Coturnix japonica: one gene and its partner. The protein of the gene in region 2 binds, or shares a complex with, the protein of the main gene of each other region. Links are inferred from orthologs where the notes say so. Each region holds a gene or a part of one and is shown on either strand. Other genes may lie near its edges.

Region 1 (7,852 bases), on a different chromosome or scaffold from region 2:
CTAATTTGCTTTTCATGGTTTTTACTATATATCCTTGCAGTAATTTAGAATTTCACATAATGAAAACACCCTATCTGGCTTTATCAATGTTTTTTGAGGTAATATTTATTTCTGCATCCTCCTCGTGTTCTGCTAAAAACACCTGGTTTAGTTATTAATTCATCATGAAAATGAACATCCAAAAAGAGGAGAGTGGAGATTTTTTGAACCACTAAGGACATCATCTTTACAGAACTCGGGTGGTAAGAGCACAAGTGATGTTTTTAGTTGGATCAACAGGAAACAGAGCCATGCAATGCAAGAAAAATAACTGGTGATGTCAAAGCCTTCCTCCAGCCTCACTGCTCATTCTCAGGTAGGTGCTTAAAAAAACTGTAATGGTTCTGCAGCAAGTGTTCTTCAAGTACATGTAAAGAGATGCTAAGATGTGTCAGATCTTTTGCAGGGTAGCATGAATGGCAACACAAAGAACTGAACTTTGAGCTTGGCACATGGAAATCTGAGTTCTCACTCCTGTAAAAGTGCAGGCGAACAGAGCTGCACCTGGATAAGCCAAAGCCTTTCTTTATCAAGTTCTCCAGGGCACCAACTAAGCTTCACTGGAAGTTCCTTTAAGATGAATGGCAATCATTTGGTTTCGGAATGACATTATAAGCATCCACATGGCTTCAGTAAATATTTAAGTTTGGAATTTATAACATCCATACTCCAATAGGAAAGCACATTAGCAGAGGACATCATGTTGTGTTAATTAGCTGTAATTATGATGCAGGCTCCCTATTTGGCACCAATTCAACAAAAATGTGATCACTATAACTCATATGGATGAGAAGCATCAGAAAATATACCTAACCAAGTTTAATGGAAATCTACAAGCATCAAAAAATCAATTAGCGTACATTAACCCTAATTAACAAATGCAAATGAGATGCTGATTAACTTTCTGAAAAAGGCTGCTGATGATACCAGATTAAATGTGGCCATGTTAGGGCGATTCAGTTGACACAGATAATGCTACTGCTGGCCCAAGTTGTCAGCATTAATAAAACAACAAATTGTAACAAACTGATGCCACCTGTAGGAGCCTTCATTGCACATCTTTCTTGGACTAATTGTAATTGGTTCTGATCCAAGTAAAGCTAATAGTATTTTAGATCTGTTGCAAAATCAACAACATCCTTTTTTATTTTGAAGCTCAATACTTGAGAAAATGTTGAGGAAGAGAATGATTAAAAACACTTGTTTTGGGGAAGAGATCCAGGTGTTTCAGAGAATTGTTGAATGCCTCCTCTAACAATCATACTGTTTTCTATACTGATCTGCCTTTTTTCTTTTTTAAGGCATAGGTGAAAGACGTAGAACAAGTTCCAAGCATTCCAGTTTGAACTACTTCAGAATCTCTACCTCCTTCATAGCTGAAAGACAATCAAAACTCTCTGAGTGTGCCATAAAGGTGAGAAATCAAGGTAAGGGGAAGGTTGTTTTACAAAACAGCTATACATATACTTAAGGATTTTACTAGTATAACCTGAATACCAGACTTATTGAAAAGATGTAGACCTTGTATTCATGGAATTAAACACAGACACAGGAAGGCAAAGAAAAATAAATCGTGATTATTGTATGACGTACAGATATAACTGTGTTTTCATCAAATACTTCCATGGGTAAGTACTGAACAGATAAACCATTTCAACACATAAAAGTAATTTCTATATATATATATGTATATATATAAAAAAACAACCCCTCTCCTCTTAGAAAGTATGAAACATCCTTATAGTTAATGTTCAGATAAAAAGACAAAAGATAACACTATCCTATACACACAGTTACAAACTACTGAAAACTTACTGATTTTTATCTTAAAAACCCCAAAAACTATCATTTTAGTACTCAGAATACCAGCATTTTTAAGCTCTGAGCATAATTATTCTCAGAATTAGACCACGCTTCATTAAAAAAAATAATGCCTATGTTAAAAGGCTGCACTAAACTCAGTTTTTTGTACAACTGTGCCTTTATTCAAATGCATTCACTTTGTGTTCAAGTGTCATTTCAAAATCAAAGTTATAAAAAAAATAATAATCAGATTTTTATGGAAACATTTATTCATTACTAATATGTCAAAACCTTAATGCAGTAATAAAAAAACCTGCATCATTGAGCAATTTCTGCATTGTCACTGACCCCTGTCCTAAAAAGCTGGAATATAAAAAACGTAATTTTAATGCATGCAATAGCTTATGAACCAGTGCTCCTTTGAAACAGTCAATTACACATCCACGGGGGAGTGTCAAAGTGTTAATTACTACTCCTTTTTTCCACAGTGTGTAAATAAAGAGGGTGCTGACATTAACATTCCATCACATTGCTTCATGTGATGAAACAAATTAACTGGGACAGACTGTGACTTGCTAGGTCTAATGCATCAGCACATGCACACACACGTACGCTAGTCTGCATGTTTTACCTTACTGTTCAGGGGAAGTATTTGAAGTATTTGCTGTTATGAAGTTAGTGTTTTTTAAAATGCTCACTAAGAGTTTTATACAAGCTGCTGTCTCACTTATTGAAGTTGTCATCTCCGACCCAGCCTGATGTACCAATGCACTAAATATCCCCTCCAAAAGGGTTTAAATGAACGAAGCAGAGAAAAACAGATTCCTACTTGAAACCCTCAAAATAGTTTGTCCTAGCATAGATTACAAACCACACGTAGACAGTCCATTTCAAGTCTAATCCACTGTTTAGGAAAAAAAAATGACACCAAGAAAAAAATCACTATTAAAATTGTCTTTTGGTATTTGGGTTGGAACTGAAGTCCTTTGTCGGTTCCATTATCATAAGCCATGACAGAAACATAACGACTTGAAAACTTACCAAGTGAGTCAATGAAGTCTTTGTTGTTCTGATAAAACTTGACATAGGATACTAGTTTAGCGCTTACAAAAATTGTCAAAAGCTGGAAGATGGAAAACAAATGTAAGAACAGTTGAAAGATTTTCTGTTTCCCCTCTTTGGAGAAAGCACAGACACATGAAACACTGCAATTTCTATTCATAGTGGAAAAAAAAACCAACAAACCAACAAATAAACAATCCCCAAAACAATAAGTTTACAGTTCTTAAAGTCTCCTGCTGAAAGCCAAGGGCAATCTGTGCTGTGATTATTTTCTCAGATCAGAAAGGCAGTTTTGCCAAAAGAATTTACAGTGAAGGTGCAACTTGTAACTGATTTTCTGAAGCTTCTAGAGGGGAACTTTCTACTATACATTTACATGTAAAATTTTAATTTTCTGATGCTAAGACCATTTAAAAAAAAAACAAACTCGTACATTGCAACTTGAGATTAATGACACAGCCCACTATTCCAATGACCTTCTAAAGACATTAATAAGGCAAGGACTTGGTAAGATATAAAACCAGCTTGCTAATAAGAAAGCTACTCACATCATGAATAAGTTCGCCCTCCAAAAATTTGACTGGCTTTAAGGCAAGAAGATGGTCAAAGAGAAAGGTATTTGGGTCTTTCAATGCTCGTACAATACATCTAATTAAAAAAGAGAAATGATTATTTTTACAGCAATACACATTTCAGATGCAACCCCATTTGTTTTTCTTTGCTTTCTAGGAGATATTCCAGCGTTTTTAACTACACTTAAATATAAGGCATGTCACATTCCTAAGTAACTTTAATCTTTGTTTCACAAATGGAAAAAAACAAGAGCAAGTGCTCAGTGCTTTGCCCCATATCACAATTAAGATTTGCCAGGTGGTAGGACTGCAGATGAACCTACTGTATCCAACTGTGCATTTATTACATTTACTTCCAGCCAAACCTTCATTCTTTGTGGTGTTTTTACTGTCCTCCTAAAATTTCATAGAATCAAGTCGTTTAGGAAGATTAATTATACTTGAACATGTGACATTAAGCAGAGAAAACCTCAATACCAAACACTGCAAGACCTATGATTTATCAGTTGCAGCTCCAGACTATAAACAGTCCTAAAGTGTTTCTAGAACTCTAGATGAAAGCATTTGCTCAACAGCACATTAGAAGTCTGTTAGTGCTATACACTAGTGCTGATGGCCTAGAGCGCGACCCTGCCACATAACACACACCCAGAAGAACCTGAAGTCTACCTTGACACAGCAGTGTGGTCAACTCTAAGCAGGGATGTTCTTTCAGTAGTCACTGAGGTTTTTATTTACTTATGCAAATGTTTTAATTTACAAAATAAGTCCTTCTGGTTCTCCTGCAAGCTTATGCACAAGCTAATACACACAGAGTAGACCTATGTAACTTATTAAAGATCTAAGTCTGTCAGAGTGATGCAGGCAGAAGGCAAAATTTTGCCTGTAAGTAAAGCATATCCACCAAGTGGTTTTATTTTTTTCCATATCCTTAGTAGTATTTGCTCCTAGAAATAAGAGCAATAAAAGAACATTAAAGTTCAAGATTCAAATAGGCAGCAAGTAAAAAAAATCCCTGAAGTACAGGAAGACAATTCAGCTTCTGATACCTGATGTAAACAACCTATTTTACTAAGGTTCAGCAGTGAGCAGAACTATTCCTGAACGCTTGCACAGTGGAGTGAATGTAGAAACACCCAAACCTGCCACAGGTTGTAAACTCTTCATCAGGTCAGCTACACTATAGAAAAAAGGCCCCTGCCAAAAGGCCATTCCAAACTCTTTAACATAAAGCAATCAACAGAATACTGCAATACAGTTAAAAACTGGGAAGTCGGTGTTACCTGTGAGCATCAACTCTAGCCTGGGAAGCATTGTCCTCTGTGTAACTCCCCAGTAGTTCCACCATGACTTTTGCTGCGGTGTCACTGAAGAATAAAAATAAAGTCATCTTAGGATAGCTAAAAAAATAGTTCCAACACATTCAAATGTTTAAATAATCCCATCACGATGTTGCAGGTCAAATTAAATTACACTCGAAAAGATGTAGATGATCCATTTTAATTCTAGTGGAAAGAACAAATTAACTAGATGTATTCTTTCAATTCTTGTTCTACAAAATGTTTATCTTCACCCTTCATTTCATTCTCTTAAATTGATAAATTACCTGCTGGTTATGGAAAAAGCTTTCTGAGCTCGGAACAGCTTTATATGGTTCACTAGAATGCTCCTCTTATGCACATCTGGATTTAATCACTGCAGAATAAGTAGCACTGCAAAGTTTATTTCAAATGTAAAATGGCATATCTTAAAGGATATTTATGGTCAGAAAAATAGCTGTGTAAAAGCTCCCTTTTCTTCTTTCACAGATTGTCTCTAAGTGTTCAGAGTGAGAGCTGCTCATTTAACTGAGGAAGTGGCCAGCAATTCAAGCAACTCAGACTGCCTCGAAGCAAGTAGCTCCCAGCGCTGCGATGACAGACAGCTTTTAGAAAACAGGCATTCGTTCTAACAAAATGGAGTAAACTCTGAGCCTCGTCTACCCAGATGTTTTAAACAGCACCTCAATGTTACTGCAAGCCATCTCCAAACAGACAAGAAAGAGACTGTGTCAATTAATTTCTATTTATTTTTATGTATCAGTTCTCACCACGAGTGATGCCAGCAAATTCTGGTGCTTCTTTACAAAGCTCTCAGCAGGAAAACAGAACAAGAAAAAAAGCATCATCAAAAACAACTTATTACCTATTTTTATGGCATCCTCACTAACTACCAAAAGATGGTAGCTGCGATAGTTTGTCCAGACAGATAACAGATTTCACTGATGCCTCCTTAATACTTCGTATTTAGACGTGGCCTACCACGTCTGTGTGTAGATACAACCATTATCTGATAATAAGAGTGTGAGCTTTGCTGAAATTCCCTGTGCATGCACACAGACTGGCTTCGGTGCACATATCCTTGGGATCCTCTTTATGCAGAAGTACTTTCTGAGGGGACAGGAAGGGAAGATACTGTTCTCTCTGAGCTACAGCGTAAAGCTCAATTCTTCCTTTAAAGTATGTCAACTGCAGAGATACAGCAGATTTCCCCCATGAAGAAAATTAACAGTATTCCAGTCAAAACATATATACAATTGCAGCGTAGTAGACCTACCAAGTTTTGCTTAAATCAATTTGAGACTTTATTGTTACACAGTTTATTCATTTAACTACTTAAAGTAATGGCAGATGTTGCACAAGAGAGGACTAAACCTGCACAAGGCTATCAGCAGGTACCACGCTCATATGGAAGTAACTAAGTAGCAGCACAAGCTACAATAAAAAAAAAAAAGTTTTTTATGTTTTCAGTTCAATGACTGTATAAGTATTTATCATAAACCTCATAGAACTGCTATTTGACATCTTCTCTGTAGAGTGAAGTTCTGTGCTCCTAGGTTGATGTTTTGATGTTTTCTGCTCCCAGCTGTCACAGATGTGCAGTGCAAATATTCAGACAGTGTGGGAAGCAGGAATTATCTGTAATTGAAGAGGTCAGCCTATGCCTTGTCACGGCACCTGATGCTGGTGTGTAGAAGAACAGATAGCCACATAATAGTGAAATGAAACAAATTTAGATGGCTTTGCACATGTGCAGCATGTTTCATACCAACACAGCTAGGAAAAAGCTGAATATTAAGCAAGCTGATGTAGAAAACAACCAGCAAACCTTTATGGCAAGAATCAGGAGTAGCAGAGAAAGTAACTTACCTCTGGCAAAGTTCATCTGCCAAATATAAAAACCTAGAAACATGCGACACCAGCTATCAATTTTCCAGCTGCCCCTACCAATTTTTCTTTATCTGACCAATGGAAAGATAAGAGCCCTTCCTCAAAGAGCTCAAGATGATTTTGATCATCAGAAAAAAGAAATTTCAATCAGAATGTGACTGGAAAAGACTTGATAAAACAAGCTTTTCAGGAGCTGTTTGCTACCAAGCTAACCACGGGGGAAAGAACTCTGAGGTCTGGAAAGCCATCTCTTCTGCCATGTTAATTGAACTTAAAACATAAAGGAAGCCAAAGAACCGAGATTCCATTCCTTTCAACAATGTTTTTTTTTCCTTGATTATAAATCAACAAAGTAACTGAGGTATGATTTTTATTGCTTATTTTTCAGTTCCCACTTATCTTCCCATACCGCTACACCGAACAGCATTCCTGTGTGCTAAAGCTGGAATGCTGCTGTGAGTTTCCCATACTATTGCAAATACTGCCCACTGATCCAGGAGAGTGAACCAGGTCAAAGGTGCAGGGGTCACTCCTTGTTTTCTTTCCTGGAGAAGAGCGTAAGTGCTCTGAAAAATTGCTCCATTCACTGCAAAGCTCACTGCAACAGATGGTAAGGACACTGAGTGCAGAGTAATATATTACAGAGTTTGTAGATGTTTTCAATGCCTCACTTTAAAAAATATTACTTGTAAGCAAAAACATCTTTTTTTTCCCCTGCAATTGGGCAACTATCTGCTAAATAACCTTGGTAGTAAGCTTACTCATAGCACAGAACAAAAGCTAGAAGTTTAATTCACATATTTTGATATTAAGACTAGTTAAAACATAGTTAGCTATAACATATGGGAATTTAGCTAATTAAAACCTCTGAATAAATCAATAGGATGAGAAATGTTTTAGAAGTAAGAGCGTTACAGATTATCAGTATAATACTTTAAAACAGAAGTGCTATGTCGTATATAAAATCCAACTAACATTTTTGAAATGATTTTGACCAGTTGAAATCTGCTATGAAGTATCATCAATGCAAAAGCATTTTAACATTAATGACAGGAAATTGCCATAATGTTGTAGCTCACAGTGTAACAACTCCATGAGGATTAATTGCCCCTAAATGGAGATTCAGTAAAAATGATCCTGCTATGCTGACACAGCGCTTCCAGGCTA
Region 2 (8,378 bases):
CAGTATCCAGGACTACAACGTCACCTACTGTCACACACAACCCCAGCAGCAGTTCAGGTCAGCGCTGGACCTGCTGTGCAGTGCAGGCATTGAGCACCTTCAGCAGGAGCTGCCTCAGCTGCATCCAGCTGTGGGATTGTGTCTCACCTTCTCCTGTTTCTGTTTTTCACTGCATAGTACCGTCAATGAATTCGTGATCTTCTTCAAATCATCAATTTCCACTACAGAGAAAAGAAAAAAAGAGATTCCTCATCAACTTTGTGCTCACATACCCTCCCATCATCACAGTCCTCTCATGACTGTAGAGGTATGAGACGGATGGTGCAGAAGGGAAGGGTGCAAATTAAGAGCTGGCGCACACAGTCTTAACAGGGAGACACTCAACCAACTGGAGCAACGTGACTATGCAGTACAGTACAATATCGACTGTTTCAGACACCAAAAGGAGCAGCACAGTGTCAATACTGAATTGCCCAGTGAGTCCCTCACTTCAGCTCTGGGACCGTACAGCACTGCTGCAGGCAGCCCTGTGTGTGCACAGCCTTACACAGCACCGAGCCACCCCGCAGCTGAAGGGCAGAGTGAGCAAAGCACAGCAGAAGGGCTCACACAACAAACCCAGCTGCTGCAGCCAACCAGAGCAGGGACACGGGGCTGTAAGTTACTTTATCTCTGTACGGTCACATGCTGAATTCCAGAGCAATTAATCTCGCAGTCCCTGAATTACAAGATCTCACTCTTAGAACAGTCCTCCCAGCAGAGCTGCTGCCATTACCCGGCTCAGAGAAACGTTTGTGTTCCAGAAACTGCTTCAAGACAGACCGGTGAGATGGAGAGCAGCACGAAGAGCTGCAGCTCTAAGTGCCTGTTTGTAAGTGACTGCAGGAAGACACAAATGTGCTCCACAGAGCACGGGCTGGGATGGAACCTCACACTGACACTCAGCTCAGCACCAGCTGCACACTGATCTCAGTTTCAGCTCATAGCACACCCTCAAGGTCACACCTGCTGCAGTCCTGGCAGTGGCTGAGGAGCTCCTCAATGTACTTACATGAAATACAAACGTCTCGAACTAACGCTTCCAAGAAGCTGGCGTAATGTAAGGACTTCTCATACTGCGTGATTTTCTCTTTTAGTAGCTTGCCAAATTCCGTAAAGTCATCTTTTGAAGAGGGATTCATGGCATCTATTCCACAAGTGTTATTTACACCTGCGAGGGAAGGCACACGGTTACAACGCATTGGCTGCGGGCTCTGAAAGATGACACCAGAGCAAAACCCATTCAGTTGTCCCTGTCTCATCAAGCACCGCCAAACCAAACTTCCTCCAACCCCCGTCCTCTGCAAACAAATCACGGCCACGTTAACAACCCGCAGGGCCACAGACTCACTGTGCTCTGGGCAGTGCTGGCTGCAGAGCCCTCCTTCCTTTAACAGAGAGTTCTAAACGAGTCCCTCTGTGCAGAATCCCCCTGGTTCTTTGCACCCCAGCAGTGCCCTGCAGGCCTGCACACAGCTGACAGCTCTGCCATGGCACAGCACACACTCACCAAACGTTTCTTTTGCTAACTCCAGGTCTGACTCCTCTTGCAATTTCTTTAGTCGTAGTTTGTCTGCTAACTGTTCTTCTGGTGTAAGTTCTTTATGTTCCTCTGGAGCCTCTAACTGCATTTAAAACAAAACGAACACCCGGTAACAGGGGAACATCACACTGAGGGGAGCTTACAAGAAACCACGTTTATTCCAGTGCCATCTGAGAACCTTCTGTGTGAAGTCAGAGCTCCAAGTGTGCACAGCCCCAACAACCATCCCAATTAATCATAACAACGCCAACTGTTTAATTTCTCTGTAATTTAACTGAGTTATGGAAATGACACATCCATTCCTTCAGCACACACACAGTCACAGAATGGCTCAGGTTGGATGGGAGCAAAAGGATCGTGAAGCTCCAACCCCCCCCCACCAACAGGGCCACCAACCTCTGTATCTCAAAGCAGACGGGGCAGCCCAGGGCCCTGAACAGCTCCAGGACCATTGAAGACACAGCTCTCACAAAGGATGCTGTCTGCACTACTGCACTGCCCTGGGAGCACAGGCTGCCCTTCAAAGCTCATTGTCCCAGGGTGGACAATTACCTCTTTCCCCCCTGATCCCCGCAGTGAGACCTGACCCTGGTGTCCCTCCCTTTCCCCTCAGACAGCCCAGACCTTATTATCACCACCAGCCCCATGTGCACAGCACACAGCTGACATTCAATTCAGCCCACCAGCCCAGGATCCCCACAGCTCCTGCTCAGCCCCCACACACAACCCACAACCAACACAGCTCCACATTCCCCAGCCCACAAAGCAACAGGAATTACCCTTTTTTTCAGCTCCTCTTGCTTTTTCTTCTGTTGTTTTTCTTTTTCTTTTATCTTTTCTGCTATTTTCTTTTTTTCTGACACTTTGGGCTCTGTAAATTGAACAAAACAGCTCCTGAGATCCCACAGTGTTTCTGAGTAACCAGGAAAACAGAAATCAAAGAGAGCAGCAGAGCTGAGCTGGCAGCACTGATGGGGGGCAGAGGCCACACTGTGTCAAGGCCCAAACCAGCCCTACAAGGGCAGACAGACAAAAGCAGCGGGAGCTGCACACACTGAGGTCGCTCCTGGTCAGCCTCACCTTGTTTCACCTCCGTCTCCTTGACTTCCTCCTCTTCCTCCTCATCATCCCAGTTATCCTACAAAGGAAGTCTTCATTAAGACACATGTTGATGCTTTTACGTATTTCTACTTGGCAAACGCAGAGGACAGCAGCTTTCATACGGCCTTTTTAAATGCTCTCAAATCCATTCATTTGAGTTAGGAAGTGGGGAGTTGAGCTGTTGGAGCTGTAAAATAAGGGCTCTGACCTGGGAGCTGAGCACAGTGCCGTCAGCTGTGCAGCCCCCTCCCAACAATTAGCTGGGTATCATTAATGGACACGTGTTCTTCCCCTGGTGCCCCTCCAGGTCCCACTGATGCCCTCTGTGTACAGATCAGCGCTTTGTCACAGCCCTGAAGGTACATGTGGCACCACAAGTTAAAGCCAAGAAATGGCCCAGGAATCTACTTTGAGTTACCAGCACGAGTGGAACCTGTAAGCTTAAGAGCTCACCTTTGGCAGGGCCTGGTCTGCACAGAAGCCACGCAGGCCATGCACACGTTATGGGTGAGCTTTACAACCACAATCCCCAGCTGGGCCTCAGAGCAGAAACGTGAGCACTCAGAGCAGCCATTTACCCGGAGGAGGAACGCGGCGTCACAGCGCATCCCCACAGCTCCCCTGGGCCAACCCGCACCTGTGGCAGAGCCGGCTTCCATCCACATTCCAGGAGGCTGACTTGAATCTGCAGCAGCGCTCATTCAGCTCGTATCTAATTAAACCTGTTACACCCATTTCTTAAACAGCCATTCTCAGCACTGCTGTGCTCGGTGCCCAGCCTGCACGGAGGGGTTTAGATCGAGCACACAGAGCAGGAGGGCAGCGAGTACCAACGGGGCTGCAGGAAGCGACCGCCTCCTCCAACAACTGCTGCCTTCAGATGGGAACAACCCGCCCCAAAGCTGCTCCAAGCACCTGTCAGCACTGCAGGAGTGAGTGAGCAGGGGTGAGTGTGCAAGGGGTGAGTGTGCAAGGGGTGAGTGTGCAGCAGCTGCTCCCACCGCTGCAGCTGGAGCAGGAGCTGAGCCCCATCTCTCCTCCTCCAGCACTGACACTGAGCCAGGGCACAGCCTCCAACCAAGAGCTGCCCAGGGATAAATAGAGCGAACCCTGTTGGCACCAGGCCTGTCTGCTGGGCAAGCTGTGCCCGGTAACAGCTGAGAGCAGCTGCGTTACCAATGAAGATGATGATCTGAAACCCGGGGAAGTCAATGTTTCCTGAACTCTGGGGTTACTTTAAGATCAAAACAACTGCAAAACAAACTACAGGATCCGAGTATGTAGGAAACAAAGCAAGAACATGAACACGCAAAACACCGCGCTCACATCTTTCCCTTATATCCATACTCCAAGGCTGACCCTGGCAAACAAGGAGCTCCAGTATCCACCTCCCAGGCTCAGCCCTGAGATCTCCAGCATTTAAACAACGAGCAAATGGAAATGAAACACTCCTATCTGCCATCCAGCCCTCAGCTCCAGGTGCAGCTCTGGTACTAATAGTGTGACCCCGAGAAAGGGGGAGGAAGCCAAACTGCTGCACACGGGGAGCTGCTCCTTTATGACAGCAGAGCTGTCCCTATGAGCACCACCCCACAGAGCAGTTCTCCTGGACACGCTGGATACCAGGAAGGTTCCTCACTTCCAAAGGAAGGCAGAAAAGCAAACTTCACCAGCGCTCTGTATGTGTTCTATATAAACACACACAGGTACGCACACACTGCAGCCAGTGTCACATACGTGCATCCAGTGACGCTGTAACCACGCTGCTCACAGAGATACCCCCACTCACCTTGTGTGCTGTAATGCCACAGCAGTGATAACCACAGGGTGTGGTGTCACTGTGCTTCAGAAGCAGAACAGACAGCTCCTAACTCACACAAGTATCTCTTTATAAAGGGAACGCTCTCACACTGCCCACAGAAGGAATTCCACCCTAAGCTCCAATGGTGCTGGTGGTTCCAATATCCTCCAAACAGCGGCACAGCCCGACCCAGCCGAGCACTGAGCCCTCACCCAGCACCGTGCAGGGCTTCACCCAGCGACCACAACGTGGCGACCAGGCGACACCCCGAGCTGCACCGCTGCGTGTCACAGCCCCGACAGCAGCTGGACCGGCCACAAAACGCTGCTGTGAGCTTCGGCTCCTTCCATCCCGATCCCACCCACACGTGCTGCCCGGCTGCTGTGCACACAGAGCTCCGTGCTGGGAGCACAGCGGGGCCAGGCGGCAGGAGACTCGCTGTAATGCAGCCCCTCGTTGTAATGCAGCCCCTCGCTGTAGTGCATTCACTCGCTGTAGTTCAGTCACTCGCTGTAGCTCAGTCACTCGCTGTATCGCAGCCCGGCTCCATCCTCCCGCCTCCACGTGCTGCAGCGCCTCAAACCCCCCATCCCAGCGCTGCTCCGTCAGCCCGTGGCCGCCATCCCGCCCTGCAGCCCCGCTCGGTTCTGGCAGCACCGTGACACCCCCCGCAGCTCCGGCTCCTCCCCGCCCGGCTCCCCGTACCCGCTCCCGGCCCGACTCCGCTCCCCGTGGCCCAGCGGTACCGGACCGCGCCAGGAGCCGCGTTCGGGCCGTGTCGGCTCCCGGGCCCCACAGCGAACAACACCCGACGGCCAACAGCGCATCACGGCCCGGATCCGATCGGAGCGGCCCGACCCGGCGCTGAGTGTCCCGGCCCGACGCACCTTCACGTCGTCGTCCTCGTCCTCTCCGGCCCAGCGATCTCCGGCCACCCCCGGCACCAACCGCTTCGCCACCGGCTCCACCACCTCGAAGGTGTCGGCGTCTGTGTGGGGGGAAGCAGAAAGGACAGCGGGTGAGCGGAGCGAGGACCGGACGGACCGAACGGATGGAACGGATGGAACGGATGGACCGGGTCCAGGCCGACACCTACCCCAGGAATCCGCCTCGGCCGCCATCTTGCCGCGGGAGCGCGGCGCGAGCTGACTCAGCCGCAGCTCAGCGCACGGCGCGCGGGGCACCATGGGAGCACGGCCCGCCCCTGCGGCCGCCATCTTGGGAGGGATGAGGTGGGGCCGAGCCGCCATCTTGGGAGGGGTGAGGTGACGGCACCGCCGCCATCTTGGGAGGGCTGACAGGCCGCTCCCCCCGGCGGGGCGGGGCCGGGCCGGGCGCCGTGCGGTACAACGGGCCGTGCCGGGGCTGGACGGGCCGTGCCGGGGCTGGACGGGCCGTGCCGGGGCTGTCCCGGCCCGCTGTGCTCGGGTGGGCGGTTCGGTGCTGGGTAGGACGGGGATCACCTCAGGAACACGGGGCAGAAACGCAGCTGAGGCGGCTGGAAGTGCCGGCGTTGGGCCGGGCAGCCCCTGGGCTGCACAGTGGAGCTGGCAGGGCTCAGAGCTACAGACCATCACAGCGTCAACCGGAGTATAAATATTTAATAGAAATCTGTAGGATTCGATATCCTGAAACCACAGCAGAAAAAAACCACAGCTCTGTAGGACGTTGGTTCTCTCCCATTTGTATTTTACAAGGTTCAGCCTATCGGTACAATGACATCTTTGCAAGTATAAAAAAAATAAAGCAAAACAGTATTACATTACACAGTCAAGACAACCCAAATAGTGATGTGCGTAACAGAACCTGTACAAGGCAATCCTTGCCGAGCCTTCCTTGCTTCCAAACAAAGAAGTTGCTTTTTTTTTTTATTAATTTATATAGATCTTTTTGTACAAAATAATGACAACTAGCTAAGAAAACAACGCACCTATGCTACTTCTCATCAGCCATTTAGCAACTTGTGAACCATTCTCTTTAAGCACCCACAACCCAAGGTGCGGATCTGCAGCGACGCGGTGGCTCAGCCCTTAGAGCACAGCCTGACTCTCATCGTTCGATTCCACCTGTCTCAGGTGCTGATAATGATACAGAAGCTCCATGGAGTTGGCTGAGCCACGTGCCTGCTTTGCTGCGCAGACCCAAGTCCTTTCCCCATCAAAATAACCCACACTTGACTTGAAACTCTACTTACAGCGGAAGACGTTATTTTCATGTCATAGCAATCAGTTTCTCGTTGCACTTATTGGAACAAACCTAACAGCCGCGCTGATATCGCACCAGGAGCTGCCTGGTCTTTTCTTTCAATGACAACATGTTGTGAGCGTTTACTTTTTGGCCTCGACTTCCTGAAACCCATTCCATCTGGCCAGACGTACCGGATTCATTGCAACTGTGCAAACATTCATTTGACACTGGAACTTTAGCTTTGTAAAGGTGTGCTCTCCAAGTCCTTAACATGGAAGGCAATGGGAGCACAGGATGGAGAGGAGACAGAGAAGGCACAGATAACTCTCCTAGTTCCCCAGTGTGTTCAGTGCTGATCCAGCCCCCCATTCAGAAGAATGGAACAACACAGGGAATCCTGCAGCCGCAGTTCGGACACCCCAACACTAATGGGGCCTTCCTCGGTTCTTTTGTGAAGTTCCAAGTGCCATCATCTACCTTAATGCCTACACTAACAGGTGCTGGCTGATTCAGGCTGATTAGACAGAGAATAAAGGTAATGATTCGCAATGCAGTGCTATAAGGAAGTCAGAACCAGAAGGAAAAAAAACAAACGGAGGAACGTGGCTCTGCACTTCCACGTCTGGTTATTTGAACAACACGTTTAGTGCTCTGCTTAAAGAAGCGCCTCCTTATAACACACATTCAACTCTTCCTCCGGCAGATGTCTGACCAGGTCGTGAAACATTCAGGTTTTCAGATACATCTGAATAATAACAACAAAAATATTTTCCTACAGAGATGGAAGGAGAAATGAACCAAAGGTGGGAAAGCAGCCAGCAACAGAAGTATGAAATATTGTTGTTTTGCTGCCCAAACGAAAAACACTCAAACCCAGGACAGAATACAGACAAGCACGCACAGTTAGCAAACAGCTGCCATAATCAAAGACCACAAACGAAGCCGTAGACAAAAATGAAACCATTAAGAACTTTGGGAATAGGATGTTCCCTAACCATCCATAAAGTGGGAATAAACGACAGAGCTACAAGATGAACTGCTTAAGCAGCACAGTTCTACATTCAGCCCCAGGTAACGGGCGCAGCTGAGCCTCCCTCGGTTACCAGCGTGCACAACTGGGTCCAGGCTGAAGCCAAAGTGAGGCCTCAGCCTCGAGACCCAGCGATGAAAACCAAAGCTGAAGCAACAGAGCTTTGCTTCACGCACAGACTCGGGTTTTATGGCAGGTTTGACATTTTAGGAAGTTGCGTTTTGAAGGTGGACTCATTCTGCAAAGAAAGTTCAGAATGATAAATATCAGACTTGCAGCGCATTAAAATATTCATATTTAATATGTTCACTAAGCAGTCGCCGTAATTTCCGTTGTGCATCTATGCAGAACTAAACCCTCCAATTTACATTTCCATTTCCCTCACTGATCTGATAATCACAACACAGATACAGCTGTAAAGTGCAATGTATGCTTTGGTTTCCTTAACTAAAGAAAGCACTTTTATAATGGGTTTTGCCACAGATAGGACACACGTGTGCGGGGGCGTTACGTGAACAGACGATCATCTCTTTGTACAGTCAGAGAACAGCCAGGAGTTACTGAACAGAAATGGGATCCTTCTGGTAGCGTAGTGATGTGTAAAGCAGTCCTACGGTGTAAATTACCCAAAGAAATCTGGAAGAACTCCACGTTAAACAAGGATTCGCCGTTAAAAC

Evidence for each region.
Region 1: EIF3J (region 2) and EIF3M share a complex: the UniProt entries of both Homo sapiens proteins name them as parts of the eukaryotic translation initiation factor 3 (eIF-3) complex. The link is inferred for Coturnix japonica from reciprocal best matches to the Homo sapiens genes EIF3J and EIF3M.

The regions. Positions count from the first base shown.
Region 1 is NC_029520.1:4,352,865-4,360,716, forward strand, and holds part of EIF3M (eukaryotic translation initiation factor 3 subunit M), read right to left. Parts: intron 4,844-7,852; coding exon 4,760-4,843; intron 3,553-4,759; coding exon 3,453-3,552; intron 2,966-3,452; coding exon 2,884-2,965; exon of another isoform or gene 1-2,883. UniProt on the Homo sapiens protein: Component of the eukaryotic translation initiation factor 3 (eIF-3) complex, which is required for several steps in the initiation of protein synthesis.
Region 2 is NC_029525.1:17,933,056-17,941,433, forward strand, and holds the start of EIF3J (eukaryotic translation initiation factor 3 subunit J), read right to left. Parts: upstream 5,750-8,378; 5' UTR 5,735-5,749; coding exon 5,581-5,734; intron 5,473-5,580; coding exon 5,372-5,472; intron 2,721-5,371; coding exon 2,663-2,720; intron 2,454-2,662; coding exon 2,362-2,453; intron 1,665-2,361; coding exon 1,550-1,664; intron 1,211-1,549; coding exon 1,052-1,210; intron 222-1,051; coding exon 148-221; intron 1-147. UniProt on the Homo sapiens protein: Component of the eukaryotic translation initiation factor 3 (eIF-3) complex, which is required for several steps in the initiation of protein synthesis.